Linked DNA regions of Mytilus edulis. The protein of the gene in region 2 binds, or shares a complex with, the protein of the main gene of each other region. Links are inferred from orthologs where the notes say so. Each region holds a gene or a part of one and is shown on either strand. Other genes may lie near its edges. The genes, in order: origin recognition complex subunit 5-like and origin recognition complex subunit 3-like.

Evidence for each region.
Region 1: the proteins of origin recognition complex subunit 3-like (region 2) and origin recognition complex subunit 5-like are in contact, whole or in part, in a crystal structure (PDB 4XGC), measured with the Drosophila melanogaster proteins. The link is inferred for Mytilus edulis from reciprocal best matches to the Drosophila melanogaster genes Orc3 and Orc5. Residues at the interface, in NP_476904.1 of Drosophila melanogaster: Ile105, Gln107, Leu140, Lys141, Val144, Cys183, Thr184, Met185, Lys186, Gln187, Glu213, Cys214, Asp222, Leu225, Ile226, His230, Ala243, Thr244, His250, Tyr255, Ser258, Ser259, Arg262, Leu263, Ala270, Pro272, His302, Ile303, Leu305, Tyr306; in NP_477132.1 of Drosophila melanogaster: Ile72, Glu73, Tyr75, Ile79, Glu82, Asp86, Asp94, Arg130, Tyr291, Met292, Arg293, Ile294, Glu295, Leu319, Glu320, Leu321, Pro322, Tyr323, Tyr324, Ala325, Asp383, Leu386, Ala387, Tyr390, Val397, Leu399, Thr400, Cys401, Asn402, Leu403.

What each region holds. Positions count from the first base shown.
Region 1 is NC_092344.1:67,508,299-67,518,414, reverse strand, and holds the start of origin recognition complex subunit 5-like, read right to left. Parts: upstream 4,242-10,116; 5' UTR 4,109-4,241; intron 1,483-4,108; 5' UTR 1,466-1,482; coding exon 1,373-1,465; intron 1-1,372. UniProt on the Drosophila melanogaster protein: Component of the origin recognition complex (ORC) that binds origins of replication. DNA-binding is ATP-dependent, however specific DNA sequences that define origins of replication have not been identified so far.
Region 2 is NC_092353.1:2,483,787-2,493,716, forward strand, and holds the start of origin recognition complex subunit 3-like, read right to left. Parts: upstream 3,793-9,930; 5' UTR 3,656-3,792; coding exon 3,629-3,655; intron 1-3,628. Other genes in the region: guided entry of tail-anchored proteins factor 1-like, read left to right, coding at 7,081-7,161, 8,012-8,177, 9,135-9,202, 9,639-9,753.

The DNA.
Region 1 (10,116 bases), on a different chromosome or scaffold from region 2:
TTTGTTTATATCACTTATCACTTTTCAATTATCCGACGGCTTGGTCAAAATGTCAACTTGTTCTCGCATTTTAATCAGTCATTCCCAATTCTTTCGATACTCTCGGGATTTTACCACGTCTACGTACATGTAGTAAACAGGTAAAAGTAGAGCGGGAAAATTTTCATTCATGAAATATTCATGAATGAATGAAAACGCAATCTCGCGTAGATTTCTTGTGATTTTCTCTTCAGCGCATGGCAGATCCGCGAAGTAGTGTTTGTGATACTCATTTTTAAAATGAAGTTAAATTCATCTGAATCGTCGGTGAACATTCATTTCTTTTTTATTCAAGCTGTATTCTTTTCAGTCAAAACAGTAGAAACTTAAAATTTTTAAAGAATCTTCCAAGTATCAGAACTCAGACACTAGTACTACACTATCTCGGAGCAGAATATAATGCGATAATCTGTCAACCGGAAGTTTGAGGCCGACGCCTAAGGAAAGTAGCAATAGCAAGCTATAGCAAACTTTCCAAAAATACAAAATACCTTCATATACATAAGTTCAATCATAGATAAACAAACTGGCATATGTGTACTGATGTCTTTGTTAAAAATTAAAAATAACTTCATATGCAATCATAGATAAACAAACTGGCATATGTGTACTGATGTTTTTGTTAAAATTACAAAATACATTAATATAAGATCATATATCATCAAGCTGGTATTGTTTATTCCAAAAGCAGCAAACAAGAAAGAACAACTTCTAATAGATGTCACTAAAATAGTATTAAATAGTTAATTAATGATAGTATTTATTTAATTAACATAATTATCACGTTGAGAAAGGATTTCCTGCGACGCGTCAAAAAAATAATATAATAGCCTTTCAAGACTTTTGAACTAGAAATACCATACCCCTCCAGCCTTTTGTCAAAGTATTGAAGTGCAATGATCATTCAATACATAAACATTTTCCATCTGAATTCATTATTTTATTTTAGACAAAAACTATATCATATGTAGGACATTCGTCCTGAACATGTATGAAATATTAATATTTGCCACTGGACATTAGGCAACCAATAATCAATCAATATATATATATATAAAGGACATAGTCTGGGTATAAAGCTGGCATTCAAGGTAGCGCCTTTCTCATATTAAATGACTTGATACCACAAGCTTCAAAACTATATAATAGATATTTAAAGTAGTTATCAAAGTAGAGTTTAAATTGACCCAAGAATATTATTTTTTAAAATAGACATGGAAAAAGCAGGACAACTTGCATTTTTTTGAAAACTAAAATTTAGGACCCTTTTTATGTAATCTTCATTTTATGTAATCTGCATCTGTATACACTTGTAAAAAAACATTTCACTTACCTGTCCAAACAATGACAGCAACAAATTAATCTGTGATTGTCTGCATGGAAATGTTTTGTTGAGATCTTCTTTAAAGTTGTCTACTTCTGTCATATTTTCTGATGCAGCTTCTACATAAAAGGAGAACAAATGAGCAGTATTTGACAGGTGTCAACTGAACATAAGGAATGTATTAATAGCTAGATCAAATAAATCAAATATCTTTATAAAACATCTATTATATATATCATAATGGTATAAAAATATCTTGTTATTTAAACATGTTAAATATAAAGATATCGAATATCCATAAATTATAAGTACAGTAGACTCCACCTAATCGGATATCGGTTAATCGAATATATCGGCTATTGTAATATTATTTCAAAACACCGAACCATTCCCTATACATTTCAGTCAAAATACATCGGATAATCGAATATCGGTTATTAGAATATATCGGCTAATTGGATAGGAATATTCATGGAAAATGTGTGAAAACCATGTACAATCGAATATTTTGAAATAGTTTCATATTTTTTTTGACAGGAAATGAAACCGGAAGTCACGCCATTACGAAGTTTAAGAAAACTTCAGTACAGAAATGTTTCATTTTATTAATAAAAACGATCTTTCATAGTCAAATAAAACATATTTTTTCTTATTGTCTTGTTTATTTTATGAATTTGATATTATATTCTGCCCAAGATGTGTTTGTTATGTGTTTATCCAAATGTGATCGTTGTCATTTACTTCACAAACAATGACACGACAAAATGATAAACTGTGCGTGATGTTCATCAATGTTTATTAAATATGAATGAAATGTACCTCTTTCTCAACAATTTATTAAAATATATATAGAAGTCCCGTGTAAAAACAAGGAATCGTGTGTCAATAGCATGTCCCAGGTGAAATAGAATTATGTAACTTGTACACACGTACGCCATTTTCCTAATTTACATAATATTCAGCCTTTTATTTTGAACCACGACAGAGAAGATAGAAAAGCAAAATTAATTTTACAATTTTATAATCATAAACATAGTTGTATTACTTGAAATTGGAAATGGATTTCATAAATAAAAAAATGTAGAAAATTAGATCCGAGTACGATTACAGGTAGAAGTTTATAGTCGGCATGAATTCGTAGCTATTAATAGAATTTACCTGTGGCCTACTTCCGAGAATTCATAGCTATTTTTAGCTTTTACCTGTTTTAACACACAAATGAAACAAATCACGCAAAAACAACAAGTCACATTATTTAAATGGTACATATTTTATTCAGATAATCAACTCATAATTAATAATTAATAATCAATAGACTGACAGATAAACAAAATACATTATTATCAACTGATTGATCTGTTACTCAATCAACCGAATTATCCGAACTTGTACCTGAAAAAACAATGAGATTAGTTACAAATTTCCATTAATAAAGCAGCTATAATAGCTATTGGTATCTTAGGGTTGTGTCTGTCAATTTTGAAAAAAAACTCGGAGGAATATACGTTCATCGGCTAATTGAATATATCGGACAATATCAGATATTTTTAGCTGACATTTTGGGTATCCGATTGGCCGGAGTCTACTGTACTCTGTATTTATTGCCAGCAATTTTTATATTTATAAGGCCCAAAAAAATAATACATGTATTTCCCCTAACCCTACCTACCCAAGTTTTTAGTGCATACCTTAATTTTTTGGGGCATTTTGAACAAGCACCGTTAGAGTCAGACTGGTTCCCAAGTAGTATCCAGCTAAGAAATGTTTGGAAAATAAAATGATATTGCCTACCTACCTAACATGCCTAAGTAAACTACCCTAAATTCTTTCAGAACTTAAGCAGGAACACATGTATTATTTTTTTGGCCTACATGTATATTAGGATTACTCATGAACAGGTTCAAGTGACGCCACAGTTTGAACTTGAACTTGATCTGTAAATTATGGAAGAAAGCATTCTGTACAAGTTTTGTAACATTTGGTTGAGGCAGACTCGTTCATAGAGAACAGAAACCAATTTTGGATTGGAACCAACAGGAAAAACGGGACTGACAAGGGTAACACTTAATGCCCCTACACTTGGGGAATAAAAATACATAAGACACAGAATTATATCTTTCATAGCAGAATCTGCCAAAGTTTTGGGGATTTTTGTTCATCAATAATCATGAGACTGAGTAGTTTAATTTTTTACATGTTATGATGTTGAAAGTGTGGGTCGGATTGACTTGGAATGAAGACTTAGAACAGAAGGACCTGAGGACGGATCAACTAGGGGACGGGTAGTCCAAATAATTATGACGTCTTAAAAGGCTATTATAATTTTTTTCTTTGACGCCTTACTTCGACGTCGAAGTAAGGCGTCAAAGAAAAAAATTAGACGTCGAAGTAAGGCGTCAAAGAAAAAAATTATAATAGCCTTTCAAGACGTCATAATTATTTGGACTAGGGGACGGGTAGACATGAAAACAGGGCTTCGAGTTAAGTGTTTATAATGTTAGATGCTATGTAAAATGTTTCTCATGTGTAGTCTGTGACAGTGTCAAGTAAGCCGGTGACTGTCTAGTCCAAATAATTATGACGTCGTAGAAAGGCTTCCCAGAAAAAAAATTCGTTACCAACACAGGCACACTGTCATGACCGTGTGCCGGTGTGGTACTGGTAACGAAAAAGTTATAAATTTTGTCATCTAGAGATTTTTTTCTTCATATGTAATTTATAAATAAATAATTGAAGTAAAAGGACCTTGTATGTCGGTCACCTAATTCTAAACAGGTAATGTTGTCAAAATTCATTAAATTTCCCCGCCAAATTTCGGATCTTTTTAATGATTTCCGATGACTATCGAAAGATTATCCTTATAAAACACTGAGTCAATAGCGGACGAGATGACTGTTCCGTCTTATATGTCTATCGGCTTGAGCTAAACTAATATTACAGATAATCTTTACTTAAGGGGGTTCGCGGGTCTAAATCATTTAAATAGGATTTCTCTATATTTTTCTATAAATGAACTTTATCTTATAGTTAATAGAAAAATAAAATAAAAAATGGGGTCACCGTTCATTTGCGCTCACAATCTGCCTTCGAAAGAACAGAGACATATATATATGTCTCTGGAAAGAAGCATACATCTTTGTTAAAGTGGTTTTTTTTTCTGTTGAACTGATAGGAAAAATAAAAGTAATATCGAAATAAAAAAAAGAAATTTATTACAGAAATCGCTCAAATTTTGCAATAATTTAATTTAAGTACAGCATATATCGAAATTATATTAAAAAATATAGCCTGGTCACCGATGAGTTAAAAGAGATATTTCAATTTTAAAAAATATATGTTATATTTGTTATTCTCGTGGGATTTTGTCTATGTGTGTTACATTTTAGTGTTATGTCGTTGTTCTCCTCTTATATTAAATGCGTTTCCCTCGGTTTTAGTTTGTTACCCCGATTTTGTTTTTTGTCCATGGATTTATGAGTTTTGAACAGCGGTATACTACTGTTGCCTTTATTTAAAGCCAAAAAATGGCATTTTTTCACCAAAGGGAGATAATTTGGAACTTTTTTAATGATGCTTACATTTAAAAAGTCATCTGGGGCCAACACGAATTAATTGTTTTGAATGTTTTTTGTACCATATGATAAAGTAACAACTACAAAAGGTAATAAATAAAATTTGTAATGAAAAACAAATGTTTATTTTTTTTCTGAAATTTTTATACCCTCGAGCCTCCTTAAAGATTTAATTTCAGTTGCGAATCATCCCATGAAGCAAACTGTCTATGTTTTGAAGGAACGAATTGTTATGTACCACTTTTAGGCCCATATATATATATATATAACTTCCTCACGTTTCTAAAACAATGTAAAAGTATAATCACTATAAAACTGAACTCAAACACACCAAAACGAATGGATAACAGCTGTCATATTCCTGACTTGGTACAGACATTTTCTAATATAGAAAGTGGTTGATTAAAAAAAAAATTCTAATATAGGATTTCGCTATATTTTTTCATAAATGAACTTTATCATATACTTAAAAGAAAAATGAAATAAAAAAATGGGGCCACCGTTCATTTAAGCTCACAATCTGCCTCCGGAATAAGCATACATTTTTGTTAATGTCCTTTTTTTCTGTTGAGCTAATGAAGAAATAGACGGGTAATATCGAAATAAAAAAATAACATAATTACAGAAATCGCTTAAATTTTACAATTATTTAGTTTATGTACAGCTTATTTGAAAACATGTGTGCTGGTGGTTGTTCCACAGGGCAGTAGTATGCGTCTAGTGTGGTTGTTTTTTTTATGAAAAGCAGCTGCCGCTGGCTAGCTTGCATATGTGAGCGAAGAGAGAGCCGAGTGAGTAAGCCTCTCCTGTCAGTACATAGCCTCTACACTGTCAAGACTTCTACAGTGCCTCCCCGCGACAGCACATGGTAACTGGGATCTAGTATCTCAGGCTTTACTGTAGAGGATCTTGGAGCAGCAAGGGCCCTAAAGATGCAGAGTGTAGGCCCACCGGCGTGTGGACACGCCCTTACTCTCATTAACCTTGCCCCAACTATGGGTAAATAGCCGGTTAGATGAAGATCGTTAACCCAGGAAGGTAATTTATCTAGGAGAAAGAAAACTCTGATATAAAAAGGGCAGATAATGGTTCGTCAGCCTTGGTCGGCAACTTATCTAAAGGAAGGAAACCTCGACAAAAAATCCCTGGCCCTCCAAGTAGGGGGTTCGGCATAGGGCCAACAACTCTATCCTGTAAAAAGAATTAAGTTACGGAAACAGCAACAAAGGAATCAAACACAACCGCTGTGCGAATAGGCCTTCAAGAAAATAGTATGATTGCCAGTGGTGAAAGCCGCAAGGAAGCTGCTGGCAGGAATGAAGTGCTGAGCGCTAAAGCAAAAACCAGAATAGGATTCTGGAACGTACGTACTATGTATGAAACTGGGAAACTTGCACAGGTCACATCAGAAATGAGGCGATATAATTTGCACATTTTGGGAGTTAGCGAGAGTAGATGGACAGGTTCTGGTAAGATAAAGACAGATTCAGGAGAAACAGTTCTGTACTCAGGGAGAGATGACAACTATCATTTTGAAGGAGTAGCCATCATCCTCAAGAAAGGCACTGAGAAGAGACTTATGGAATGGAAACCTGTCAATAGTAGATTGATAACAGCAAAATTTAAAGGAGTGCACACCAACATGACCCTTATACAATGCTATGCACCAACAAATGACAGTGATGAAGCTATGAAAGACACCTTTTACGAACAACTACAAGCTGAAGTGAGATTGGTACCCCGTCATGATCTATTGGTGGTGATGGGTGATTTGAATGCCAAAGTGGGAAACAACAACACTGATATGGACAGAATAATAGGTAAACATGGATGTGGTACTATAAATGATAATGGAGAAAGACTAGCAGAATTATGTGCAGCTTACAACTTGGTAGTAGGAGGAACACTCTTTTCACATCAAGATATACATAAATTAACATGGTGTTCTCCAAATGGAAGGGATAAGAACCAGATAGACCACCTTATGATAAATGGTACTTGGAGGCGTTCATTACTCGATGTTAAAGTCAAGAGGGGAGCAGATGTTGGTAGTGACCATCACCTTGTTACTGCAAATATTAAGATGAAATTGAGAAGTACAGGACGTAAAACACTTGTCCCCACAAGATATGATATTGAAAAATTACAAGATCACAAAGTAAAAACTGCATTCATCCTCCAATTGAAAAATAAGTTTCAAGCTCTTACAGATAATCCTGACATGATCCCGACAGAAACAACAAAAGTCAACTCAAAATGGGATCAAATAAGAAAAATTTACGAAACAACTAGCAAAGAATGTTTGGGTTTTAAACAGGGTAAAACGATGAAGAAATGGATAACACCAGGTACATGGAAGGTTATAGAAGAAAGACGTCACATGAATAAGAAGATTCTAGACACAAAATCTGAACGGTTACAAGAAAGACACAAAGCAAGCTACAGAGTACTAGACAAAAATGTTAAGCGAATGGCTAGAGCAGACAAAAGAGCTTACATGGAAGACCTTGCTAAACAAGCAGAAGAAGCAGCAGAAAAGGGCGAACAAGGAAAAATCTACAAGATCACAAGAGAAATCTGTGGTAAATTTCGTAACACTAATGATGTCCATATAAAAGACAAAAATGGAAGGCTATTGACAACAGAAGACGAGCAAAAAGCCAGATGGGCAGAACACTTTAAGGAAGTACTTAACAGGCCACCGCCAGGTGACGAAGCGATAGTAATTGAGGCAGTTCAAGACTTGGAAATTAATATCAACCTTCCAGACAAACAAGAAATAATAAAAGTAATAAAATCTTTAAAAAATGGAAAATCACCAGGTCATGACAACCTGAATGCAGAACTTTTCAAAGTCGACCCAGAACTCGCAGCTGAAATTCTTCAAGCATTATTTACATCAATATGGGAAGGAAAAATAATACCAGACGATTGGACCAAAGGCATAATAATAAAGCTAGCCAAGAAAGGAGCTCTAAGCGATTGCAACAATTGGCGAGGCATTACCCTCCTGTCAATTCCAAGTAAAATCATGGCCAAAATTATTATCCAAAGAATAATAGATGCAATTGATAAACAACTAAGAGAAGAGCAAGCAGGATTCCGTAAAGGTAGAGGGTGCATCGATCAAATTTTTGCTTTACGCAACATCATCGAACAATGTACAGAATGGCAAAGGCAGCTTTACATCAACTTTGTGGATTTCCAGAAGGCCTTTGACAGTATCAACAGAAAGACCTTGTGGCGAATACTAAGAGCATATGGAATTCCAAAAGATATAATTGAACTTATCAAAAGTTTTTACAACAATTTCACTTGCAGTGTAGGGCATAGCAACATCTGGTTTGAGGTAAAAACAGGAGTTAGGCAAGGATGTGTGATGTCTTCTCTTCTTTTCAATGTTGTCATTGACTGGGTAATGAGAAAAACAACAGAAGATGCTCCAAGAGGAATAAGATGGAACCTTTCAGCAACACTAGAAGATCTTGATTTTGCTGATGATCTTGCTCTTTTATCTCACACCCACCACCATTTACAAAAGAAGACAAACCGCCTTAATACATTTGCCAGTCAAGTTGGACTTAAAATCAGCCAAACCAAAACAGAAGTCATGACCCTAAACATCAATAACCCAGCTCCTATCCTAGTAGATGGAAAAGATCTTCCCATCACAGAAACATTTACATACCTAGGAAGTACAATAAGAAACGATGGAGGTGCAGGAAATGACATTATGAACAGATTAAACAAAGCCAGAAATATTTTCAGATCATTAAACAATGTATGGAAATCAGCACAGTACAGTAAGAAGACCAAACTTAAACTGTACAGGAGTTGTGTTTTATCTACTCTGCTATACGGATCTGAATGCTGGAGGATGACAGAATTAGATCTAAACAAACTGTCAATTTTCCATACCAAAAGCTTAAGAAGAATCCTACGTATTTTCTGGCCAAATAAAATATCTAATGAAGACCTTTTGAGACAGTGTCATCAAGATAGCATGGGTACAATATTAATGAGAAGGCGTTGGAAATGGATTGGGCATGTCATCAGAAGAGATAGAAATTCCATCACTAGAACAGCTCTACATTGGACTCCAGAAGGAAGGCGTAAGCGAGGAAGACCAAAGAACACATGGAGACGTACTGTAGAAGGAGAACTGAAGACCATGAATAATACATGGGGAACAGTAGAAAAGATGGCCAAAGACAGACAGAAATGGAGAACCTTTGTTGCTGCCCTACATGCCGATGACATACCGGGCAGTAAGTAAGTAAGTAAGTTATTTGAAAACAATGATAAAAAATATCGATCAACGATGAGTAAAAAAAGATGTTTCACATTTAATGCCAAGAAATGGCATTTTTGCACCAAAGGGAGATAATTTGGAGCTTTTTCAATGATATATTAAAACATTTTAAAAGTCATCTGGAGCCAAACCGAATCGGGTTTTTTTTTGGGGGGAGGGTTGATTTTTGTACCATATCATAACGTTATAACTAATAGTGTAATTAAAAAAATTTGTAATGAAAAAATAAAGGTTTAATTTTTTTCTGAAATTTTTGTACCCATGCACGAGCCACCTTAAGATATACTCTGTAAATCATCGGCCGCCTAAAAATGTGCACTTTTCAAACATGGTAAATTCTCGATCTGGTTGCTCATAAGTACAAATGCTTCGACAGCAAAATTAGTTAAATATCTTCCTTTTATAAGTTTAATGCTTTGTTTTCAGCATATGGCATTTTTTATTTTGTTAATTTCTACGGTAGTGCTTCTCAGACCTTTGATTTTTTGCTTCATAGCTATTCAACTATTCTCTGTGTGCTTTTTTTTTTTAATATGTTGTAAACCTTTTTACATTCGATCCTGTGTTTTATTCCGTAATTATTATGCTTCAATAAATGTGTTTAAGAACTTGTGTTTTACGTACTGTATGAACTTCTACTTTTTGTATTTATATTGTATGTGCGCATGACTTGCTATGTATGTAATTTTTTTATGCGATTTTGTAATGTCGGTTAAAAAGCTCTTCCAAAGGTCTGGCAGTGTTGTTGATGAAGTAGGAATTGTATCTGTCTTTTTTATTTTTCGGTGGTTATCCCTAATTCTCCATTCTGAACGGATATATATTTGAGCATCCCATTTTTCCCTATTTTTGTATTTTTTGCCATATGT
Region 2 (9,930 bases):
CATTTTTGCTCTTTACAGTTTATCTTTATCTATAATAATATTCAAGATAATGACCAAAAACTGCAAAATTTCCTTAAAATTACCAATTAAGTGGCAGCAACCCAACAATGGGTTGTTTGATTCATCTGAAAATTTCAGGGCTGATAGATCTTGACCTAATGAACATTTTTACACCATGTCAGATTTGCTTTAAATGCTTTAGTTTTTGAGATATAAGCCAAAAACTGCATTTGACCCCTATGTTCTATTTTAAGTAACGGCGGCCATGTTTTTTGACGGATCAAATATCGAAGCACAAACTTTGTGCAGGATAATCTAAGGAACAATCATGCTAAGTTTCATCCAAATCCATTCAGTAGTTTTAGAGAAGAAGATGTTTGAAAAATTGTTAACGACGACAGACGACGACGACGACGGACGCCAAGTGATGAGAAAAGCTCACATTTCCTTTTAGGAAAAGTGAGCTAAAAACTGCAAAATTTCCTTAAAATTGCCAATTCATCGGCAGCAACCTAGCAACGTGTCGTCCTATCCATCTGAATATTTCAGGGCAGATAGATTTTGACCTGATAAACAATTCAACCACAGTCAGATTTGATATTAATGCTTTGGTTTTTGACATTTTACCCTTATGTTCTATTTTTAGCCATGGCGGCCATTTTGGTTGGTTGGCCAGGTCACCGGACACAATTTTTAAACTAGATACCCCAATGATGGTTGTAGCCAAGTTTAGTTCAATTTGGCCCAGTAGTTTCAGAGGAGAAGATTTTTGTAAAAGATAACTAAGATTTATGAAAAATGGTTAAAAATTGACTATAAAGGACAATAACTCCTAAAGGGGTCAACTGACCATTTCAGTCATGTTGACTTATTTTTAGGTCTTACTTTGCTGAACATTTTTGCTGTTTACAGTTTATCTTTACCTGTAATAATATTCATGATAATAACCAAAAACAGCAAAATTTCCTTAAAATTTCCAATTCAGGGGCAGCAACCCAACAACGGGTTGTCCGATTCATCTGAAAATATTAGGGCAGATAGATCTTCACCTGATAATCAATTTTACCCATGTCAGATTTGCTCTAAATGCTTTGGTTTTTGAGTTATAAGCCAAAAACTGCATTTGACCCCATGTTCTATTTTTAGCAATGGCGACCATGTTTGTTGATAGATCAAAACTTCGGATACAATTTATAAACTAGATATCCTAAGGAACATTCAGTTAAAGTTTGGAAGTATTTGGCCTAGTAGGTTCAGAGGAGAAGATTCTTGAAATAGTTTAGGACGACAGACGATGGACGACGACGGACGCCAAGTGATGGCATAAGCTCACTTAGCTTGGCCCTTCAGGCCATGTGAGCTAAAAAGTGTTGAAAAATAATGCAAAGATTAAAAAGGGTAGCTTTATTCCTGTAAGAAAATCATCAGGGAGATGTAGGGTTGATGATATAATTGGTAAGGATGTAAATTTGTACAAACTATCATGTGAATTTGGCATATTGAACTCTTATGTTATGGGTGATATCGATCTTTTCCCACGCAAAATTGAAACTGCACATTGGAAAACAGAATGAAATTTATTGCATATTGCTGCAAAATAAGCAAGCAAGCAAGAGATGCAAATGCAAAGGAACATGCACAAACAAATTATACATGTAAAATTGTAAATGTAAAAAAATCTGATGTTCCTCCTAGCAGCAAGTGTCATGAGTGTCACCCAGGGCGGGATTGCCAAAATAGGATTTAGAGACAATTTAATACAGAATTATTTAATTTCAATTGATTTATTGTTAACTTATTCACTTTATTCATCAAACTGTAATAATATTAACTTGAAATACTCAATAAAAGTTTTTTTATTAATGTTTGTCTAAAATAAACCCATATGATCCAAATACATGTATGGTCCAGCTCATTCTAGACCGTATGAGTATACTTGTACGCCACGGTCCGACTGTATACTCATGTGGTCTGGAACATACATGTTGGTGACCTTCTGCCGTTGTTTTTTCTATGGTCGGGTTGTTGTCTCTTTGACACATTCCCCATTTCCATTCTCAATTTTATGTTCCAGACCATATGAGTATTTGGACCGTACGTGTACAGTCCAGACAGTATACGTATACCTGTACGGTCGGACCGTATAAGTATGCGCGTATGGACCATACATGTGATTGGATCATATGGGTTATATTTAAACAATTTTCCACAATCTTTATTTTTAGTTTTACAAATTTTTATTATTACAATTAGACAGATAAACTGAACAAACAAACAATTGAAATTTAACTTTGTTTAATTGCATATCTGAATCCTATTTTGGTACACTCGCCCAAGGTGACTTTATATTTTTTACATTTGAAAATGTACATGTCTGCAGTTCATGCATGTCCCTTTGCATTTGCATTTTTTTGTAAAGTTGCTAAACATTCTAAAACAACTGTCCTCCCATATTATGTTTACTTCAGATATCTTCAATTTCAGTGATCATAATTTAAATAATGTATAACTGATCGACATCATATAAATACAGGAGATTAACAGAGTTGATTAGCATGATTTTTTAAAATAGTTAGAATATAAAGTTTTTATTTCAACTACAATTGAACTTTTTCATATATTAATTTGAGAGTTAAGTTATGCTGATCTGTAATACGCATTAATTATAAATTTGTATCTAATAAACTTGACCAACTTCTCAATATTAGTGAGACTGTATGTGTACGGTCTGATCGTATAAGTATTTTGAAAAAGTACACATACGGTCTGGAACATAAATGCAAGTTGGTTACTGTTAGGGTAGTCCAAATAATTATGACGTCTGGCAAGGCTATTTTAATTTTTTCTGGGACGCCTTCCTACGACGTCATAACGCCGAAGCCATTTTTTAGGTCTGGAGTTTGAGAGCAAATTTTGGGGGGAATTCCGGATAATGTAAATGAAATGTTCTGGGAATTCGGGTCTGTCAAATTTTACCGATTTTAATATTTTATATTCACCGGAAGTCACGTTTGTCACGTTTTTTTGGTAATTGTGGGAAATCTCTCTGAAACAATATAAATATTTGCCCACTTGAAATGGAATTGCATCTTATTTTATCATTACTTTTGGATATTTCTGGAAATATTTTACATAAATCAGCACAAAAAAGGTAGGACTTTGTAATAACGTAAAAATTTCTAACCAGCAATGAAAATTTCAGGTCAAAATAAGGTTTTAAAGTTCCCCCCAAAATTTGCTCTCAAACTCCAAACATAAAAAATGGCTTCGGCGTTATGACGTCGTAGGAAGGCGTCCCAGAAAAAATTAAAATAGCCTTGCCAGACGTCATAATTATTTGGACTACTGTTAGGGTGTCTATTCTGCTAGCCTACACAATAATGTCATGCTCTAATTTTCAGCAAATTGATTTGATTTAATAAATCCTTCACAATAAATCTAGACTACTCTAGAACAGTTGTAGGATATCTGGACTCAAAAAATTGATTATGAATAGAAATATAAAGTAGAAACAAGTGCTTTTTGTAGAAAATAAATAACAAATAATAAACTATTTGATATATTTCAATCATGATAATAAAAAATAAGTAAGCTGTGATGAGAATTTCACTATCATTAATTAATATACTTTTGAAACTGAAGACCCAGTGTCCATGTCAACAGTTTATGGTATTTACTAAAAAAAATTAAGCCTTTTCTGTTTTCTTGCAATCATACATTTTGCGGGAGAATTCAATATACAGGCTCTGTCAATAATGTTTCCTTGGAGAATTACCAAAAATACAACTAATCACCAAACACAATTTCAAGAGAGTTAACACTGTAAACACGTACCAAAAATTAATTACAACTTAATGATGACACATACATGAAACCTCTATTTTCAGACGCATTTGCAGGAGACCTTTGAAAAATGCAAAAGTAATACCAGAGACATATATACACATATAAGTTTCTGGTAATACTTTCTAAAAGGAGGGATTTTACGAGTTGTATTTTCTGTGTGTTTTTTTTTTACATATATATATAATTAATGATAAATTCTTTATTTAACGAAGGTAACTCCTTTAACATGCAATTGTTAATCTCATACAAGGCCTTAACACATTTAAATGAACAATTCATATAACAATCAATGCATATTGCACAATCAATAGATATGTACACAATTACAAATTACAAATATATATCTATGCAAGCATGAAATCAGACTGTACAGAACTAGCATGGCAAGAATGTCATAAAAAAACGTTTGTCTACTCATTTTGTTTTGTGATCAAGAGATTAGCACATTTCATCTTAAAGCTTTCTATAAGTCTTTTCAAAATCCTTTATATCATTTGGCAAACAGTTGAATATGGCCAACTCTCAGGTTACTCCTGTCAGCACTCTGATAACTGTCGGAGAGTTCGAACCAAGAACCTGGTTGAAGACCCCTTTATTTAGCTAGGCAGAAATAAAAACTAGAAGCTTTCCATAGTTTATAAGTGAATAATAATTTGACCAAAGTCATGGCAAAATATTCTGTTAGTTGATTGTGGCCAATGGTCCATTATCCGGTAGAAGTTGAAGACAACTGAGATCAACGATTTTGTAAAGCAAGTAAAAATTCACATAAAAGTAACAAAATTCAATTTGTCATTCGAAGTCTTGTCTTGATGCATTATAATGCAAAACAGACGAATGACATCTTGTGTAGATACAATAAAATGCAAGACAGTATCATCTTCTCTAAGGTGAAAACAGTCAAGAATACGTACTGCATTGATGTAACCAGACTATGATCTTCGCTAACCAAGGGTTACGATCCGGTTTTCCTTATCTCCACGGTGACGATGGACCAGACTGAAGCTCTTCATGAACATCTAAAACTGGTCTCTTCTTTACAGTCTTCAATCTAAGCCCGAGAATTTGCATCAAAATGATGTTAACTTGATAATAAGTGAACTTATCTCCTGCACCACTTAGAAAACACAATATTTTCAAATTAAACTGTCACATCAATTATATTATGTTAGTTCACAGATGTCACATGGTTTTTAGGTGGCAATTACAAGAAGAGATAAAAAATAAATACACAATACCAATCAAGAAATGAATCTTTTTTTTTCTTTATATGTGATTTTGGTTTTTTTTACAAAATTTATTTTTTTCAATAAATTGCAAGATTAAGATATCAAAAAAAAAATACATATTTAAAAATAATTAGGTTTTCAAATTAATCTTAAAAGTCAGGATAAACAACATCACAGAATATTTCCAAAATAAGAATTAAACACCAAAAATAAAGGAGGAGTGTCAACCCCACATGTGCCTGTGCATTTTCCTTTTTAAAGTTTTAAAGTTTAACAATTTTGTGTTTTAAACATCTGTTTGTTGTTATAATATCAGTCGCCTTATCTGTACGAAATGACAGATTTATAGCCCTTCGGCTTATACATTTTATAATTGAGAGAAGATATGAAATTTTCACTTTCTTGTGCATGGATGTTGGACTGAATTTTGTCATTATAAATGCAAATTTTCTGTTTATACTAGTATTACATATTTCAACTATAAAGGAATGGAAAAAAAATATCGTATGGACATAGTGGCTAGACATGCAATTTATTTAGATTATGCTTCATGAAAAAGTTTTTTTTTACCTTCGAAACTTTGAACATGCTTATTTTTTTCAGAACTTTCTATTGAGTCAATATAGCTTTAATATGATTTGATTGACAATAATAAAATTCGAAATTTTGATAACTTTCCTCATGACACATAAAGACAGATTTCCTCTGATGAATACTTCGTTGGGGACTTGTTTCAAATACCACCCAACGCAAAAAAAAACATGGTAAGACGTTAGAATATAAATCTAGTAGGAAGTTGATGTACCAAATTTCGCAGATTTTATGTGCAATTTTACAACGGAACATAGGAAAATGCATTTTATTCAATCTCAATGTTGCGCCGGACATGCAATTATTTAATGTAAAAGTAAGATATGTGTGATCAATAAAATAAACGTATGGTGCAAACATTTATACTTAACTTAAAATAAGAAAAACATGTCAAGGGCTTTCTGTAGACGTATGCATGTTGGTGGGTTTATTTTGTATAGGCGAATTGTTGCTGTTCTAAAATAATATCATAACGAAATTATTTAATTTTGGATGTAACGCGTCTTCTGATTGGCTGACGTTATTTTGTTATCAGCCCATAGACATAATTTAGTCATGTGACCGTGACGTCATCAACGTTTTTCATGGTTTTCTACGGTAAAACTGTTTAAAATGAATTTAGAATTAAATTATAAGAAATGACTGTAATATTTTTCTGTCTATTTCGAAATAACACGCACGTTATTCAGTGTGCACCACATTTTTTTTATGTTATTTCTTCATAGACAGAAAAAATATTACAGTCATTCCTTAAATGTTAATCCAATCATTAACGTGCGTAATGTCTACATATTTCATTTGCTCATTTTTAGAAGATGACTGTCTTATGGTGATGTTACTGTAGATTTTACCTTTTCCGGTTAATACTTCATCTGTTCAGTGATATTTACTGTGAACATTTTGTGAACATTTAAATCTATTAACCTATCTTTAAAAATATGTGCATCATCAGTAATGTCAGGAACATATATATTAACTTATAAGTTAGATATACTATTCCGAGGTAATGTCAAATAATAAAAAAATACAAAATATTTTCCCTTAGAAAACTTTGTAAGACTTTCTTTCCTCTCTTTGCTCAAAGAAGTGCAATTTGGATACTCTGACGAATCAAGATTTTTTCCTTAAAACATGGATAAATTAGAAATTGTATATTAAAAATTTCTATTGGTACGACTTTCATTTTTAATTTATGTTTTATGTGAAGTCGGTATTTAGGAAGCAGGCTGTATGTTGTATTCGAAACTTTTAGTTTGGACTTCAGTGATTGTAAAAACGAACAATCTCGATAAAGTCTTAGTAGTCTGTAACAAAACATTTAATCATCTTCAAAGCGCTTTAAAGTAACATATATCAAGAATCAAAAGCAAGTTGATACTTGACGTTGAATTATATTCTGGAAAAAAGAAAAAAAATGTTTTTGCTTATACTAGTTCTAATTTTGGTGATTTTCTTCAATATTTTGTCGAATTTTACCCAGATAATTTCAAAACAAGTATGAATCAATCCATTTTGCATGCAATTTTCCTTCTTCTTTAATATATACAAATGCCTTTTGTAGGTTTATCATAACAAATGGACAAAAAAATGAAGACTGGCTATATTTACACATCTTAAACTACTCTAGAGTACAGTCTAACCTGTTTAGTTGGAAAGGTTTTAAGGCCTGGTATCAACTAGATATATAAAAGTTAAATGCATAATGTATTTCAGAAAGAAATTGGATTTTGATGGGCATTTTTTTGTTGTTCCTGTAGCCAGAAGGTGTAAAAATAAATGCACACCTGAATTGCTTTAGATACTGTACACTCAATACACCTTATCGCTATTTGTCCGCCATTACTGAAAATCACACAGGTTCCCGTAAAATTTTTACGTCTTAAAACCAAATATCTGACGTCCGAATGGAGAAGTGATTGTTGTATGCGTCAAAAGTTCAAGCGGCCGGGTCAGCAGGGATTAGTGATAAGGTGTATTGCACGCTTTAACTCACCTATAGTTGTAGATAACTAATGTCTGTCTATTGTCCATGTCAATCAATCAATTCAATACAATACAGTTGTTACCTGATCAAAGTTCTATCCAAACATAGTTTTTTTTTTATTTTTGTAAATTTTTCTTAATCAGCCATGGAAATATTTATATAAAGTACAGATCAGATGTGACCAGCTATGGCCGAAGACCATACAAAAAAAATAACTACAGTACAGATCAGGAGATGTAGGAATGGCCCAGGTGACAGAAGAATAATGATCACAGTGTGAATGATGTGCATTCTATGCTTATTAACAGACATTTGGTGAGATTCACACAGAAATGAAAAAAATGTTTATTTTATGTTTCAGCTGAGTAAGCAGATATACCCTGTTTGTGATACAGAACTGAATATAAGATCACAGATTAAAGATCTGAAGACAGAACAGGATGGTGTACAGATGGTGGATGAGTTTGCCAGACATGCAAAGATACAGAGGAAAATTGATAAATTATTATCTCAAGTTAAACAACAAAGTAATTTATCATTTTACAGCTTAACAAAAAATGTTAAGAAGCTTAAAATTTATTACCATAATGTTAAAATATATTTTGCAAATTATGAATCATTTATTGTTTATGAAAGCTATGTTACCAACCATAATTATAGAGGTCTTGGTTTTGCCTGAGGGAGTTGGAACCTTAGTTTCTTTATTATGTTTATATTTAATATGAGGCAGGCATTACCTGTAAATGGGGACGAAGTCTGTATGAATTATTTTTTTGTAACTTAAATATTTGTTTAAAAAAAAAGAAACGGAAATACCGTAACGTTTCCGATTTTGGTTCTGTTGTTAGGGATTTAGTTGTGACGTTATTTAAATTATGACGTCATATGCAATGTAAACAAAGAAACGCTATCATCAGGTAACGTATTTTCATACCAAGGAATTATTAAAAATGAAATTGGTATTGCACGTTCCTTCCTATTTTATACTAGACTGATAAATATATATTTTACTCAAAGTTTCATACAAACGAGACCGGAAAAAGGAAGTACATTGTACATTTCTGCGCAGGTCCGGGATTTCAAAACACGACAAAAAAAAATTGAACGATTTTGAGTTCATTAGTACAATGAAAAATTCAGGAAATTTTCCCGTATTTTTTTTTTTATTGAATTTTCTACTGTTATTGGGGACTCCGTCCCCATATAATTTCTAAATTTATCAATGGGGAATGGTATGTTATAAATCAGCACACATAACAACTGTTTTATATTTTGTGTAATTTCAACTGTAGATAGAAACAACAAATGTGCTATATAAATATAAGATATATGTGGTATGATTTGAATGCCAATGAGGCAACTCTCCATCCAAGTCACAATTTGTAAAAGTAAAGCATTATAGGTCAAAGTATATATATATTATAGGTCATATGGTTGGTTCAGAAGTAAAAATAACAACCGATTTATATTTTGTGTAATTTCAGCCTCAGATAGAAACAACAAATGTACTATGGTTGGTTTTGCTGTACAAATTGGCATCTATGTTTTACATGTAAGTATTTATGGATGTGCCTATGATAGTCTACATCTATGTTTTACATGTAAGTATTTATAGATGTGCCTATGATAGTCTACATCTATGTTTTACATGTAAGTATTTATGGATGTGCCTATGATAGTCTACATCTATGTTTTACATGTAAGTATTTATAGATGTGCCTATGATAGTCTACAAGTACAGGATTTCATCATTAATCTGAGTCTACAAATTTAATAGATTATAATTGAGCAAACGATTTAAGGAATCTTTTTATCATAATTTTTAATGAATTATAAAGAAGAGGTAAATTGTCTGCAGCTATAACAAACAAAAAATAAAGAGAAGTTTGAATGGAGAAATTGTCTTGAATATCCAGATTGAAGCTGGTGAATAAGCAACATAAATTCTTTTTATTTTTACCTTTAATAACACCATTATTTTGTTACAGGCATTAGTAATGATTTCATTAATGATATCCTACAGACAAGAACCATTATTACAGTTCCAACCAGAATGGTTCTATCCATTACAGAAAATAGTAGCATTTCCCACAGGTGTCTCAGGTACATTCATAACACAAGATATTATACTGGCAAAAATAGTAGCTTTTTTAACTTATATTTTAGGTACATTCAAAAATGAAATTATACTGGCAAAAATAGTAGCTTTTCCTACTGGTGTTTCATATATTTTCATACACAAGAAGGATGAAAATAGTAAATATCCAACAGGTATATTCA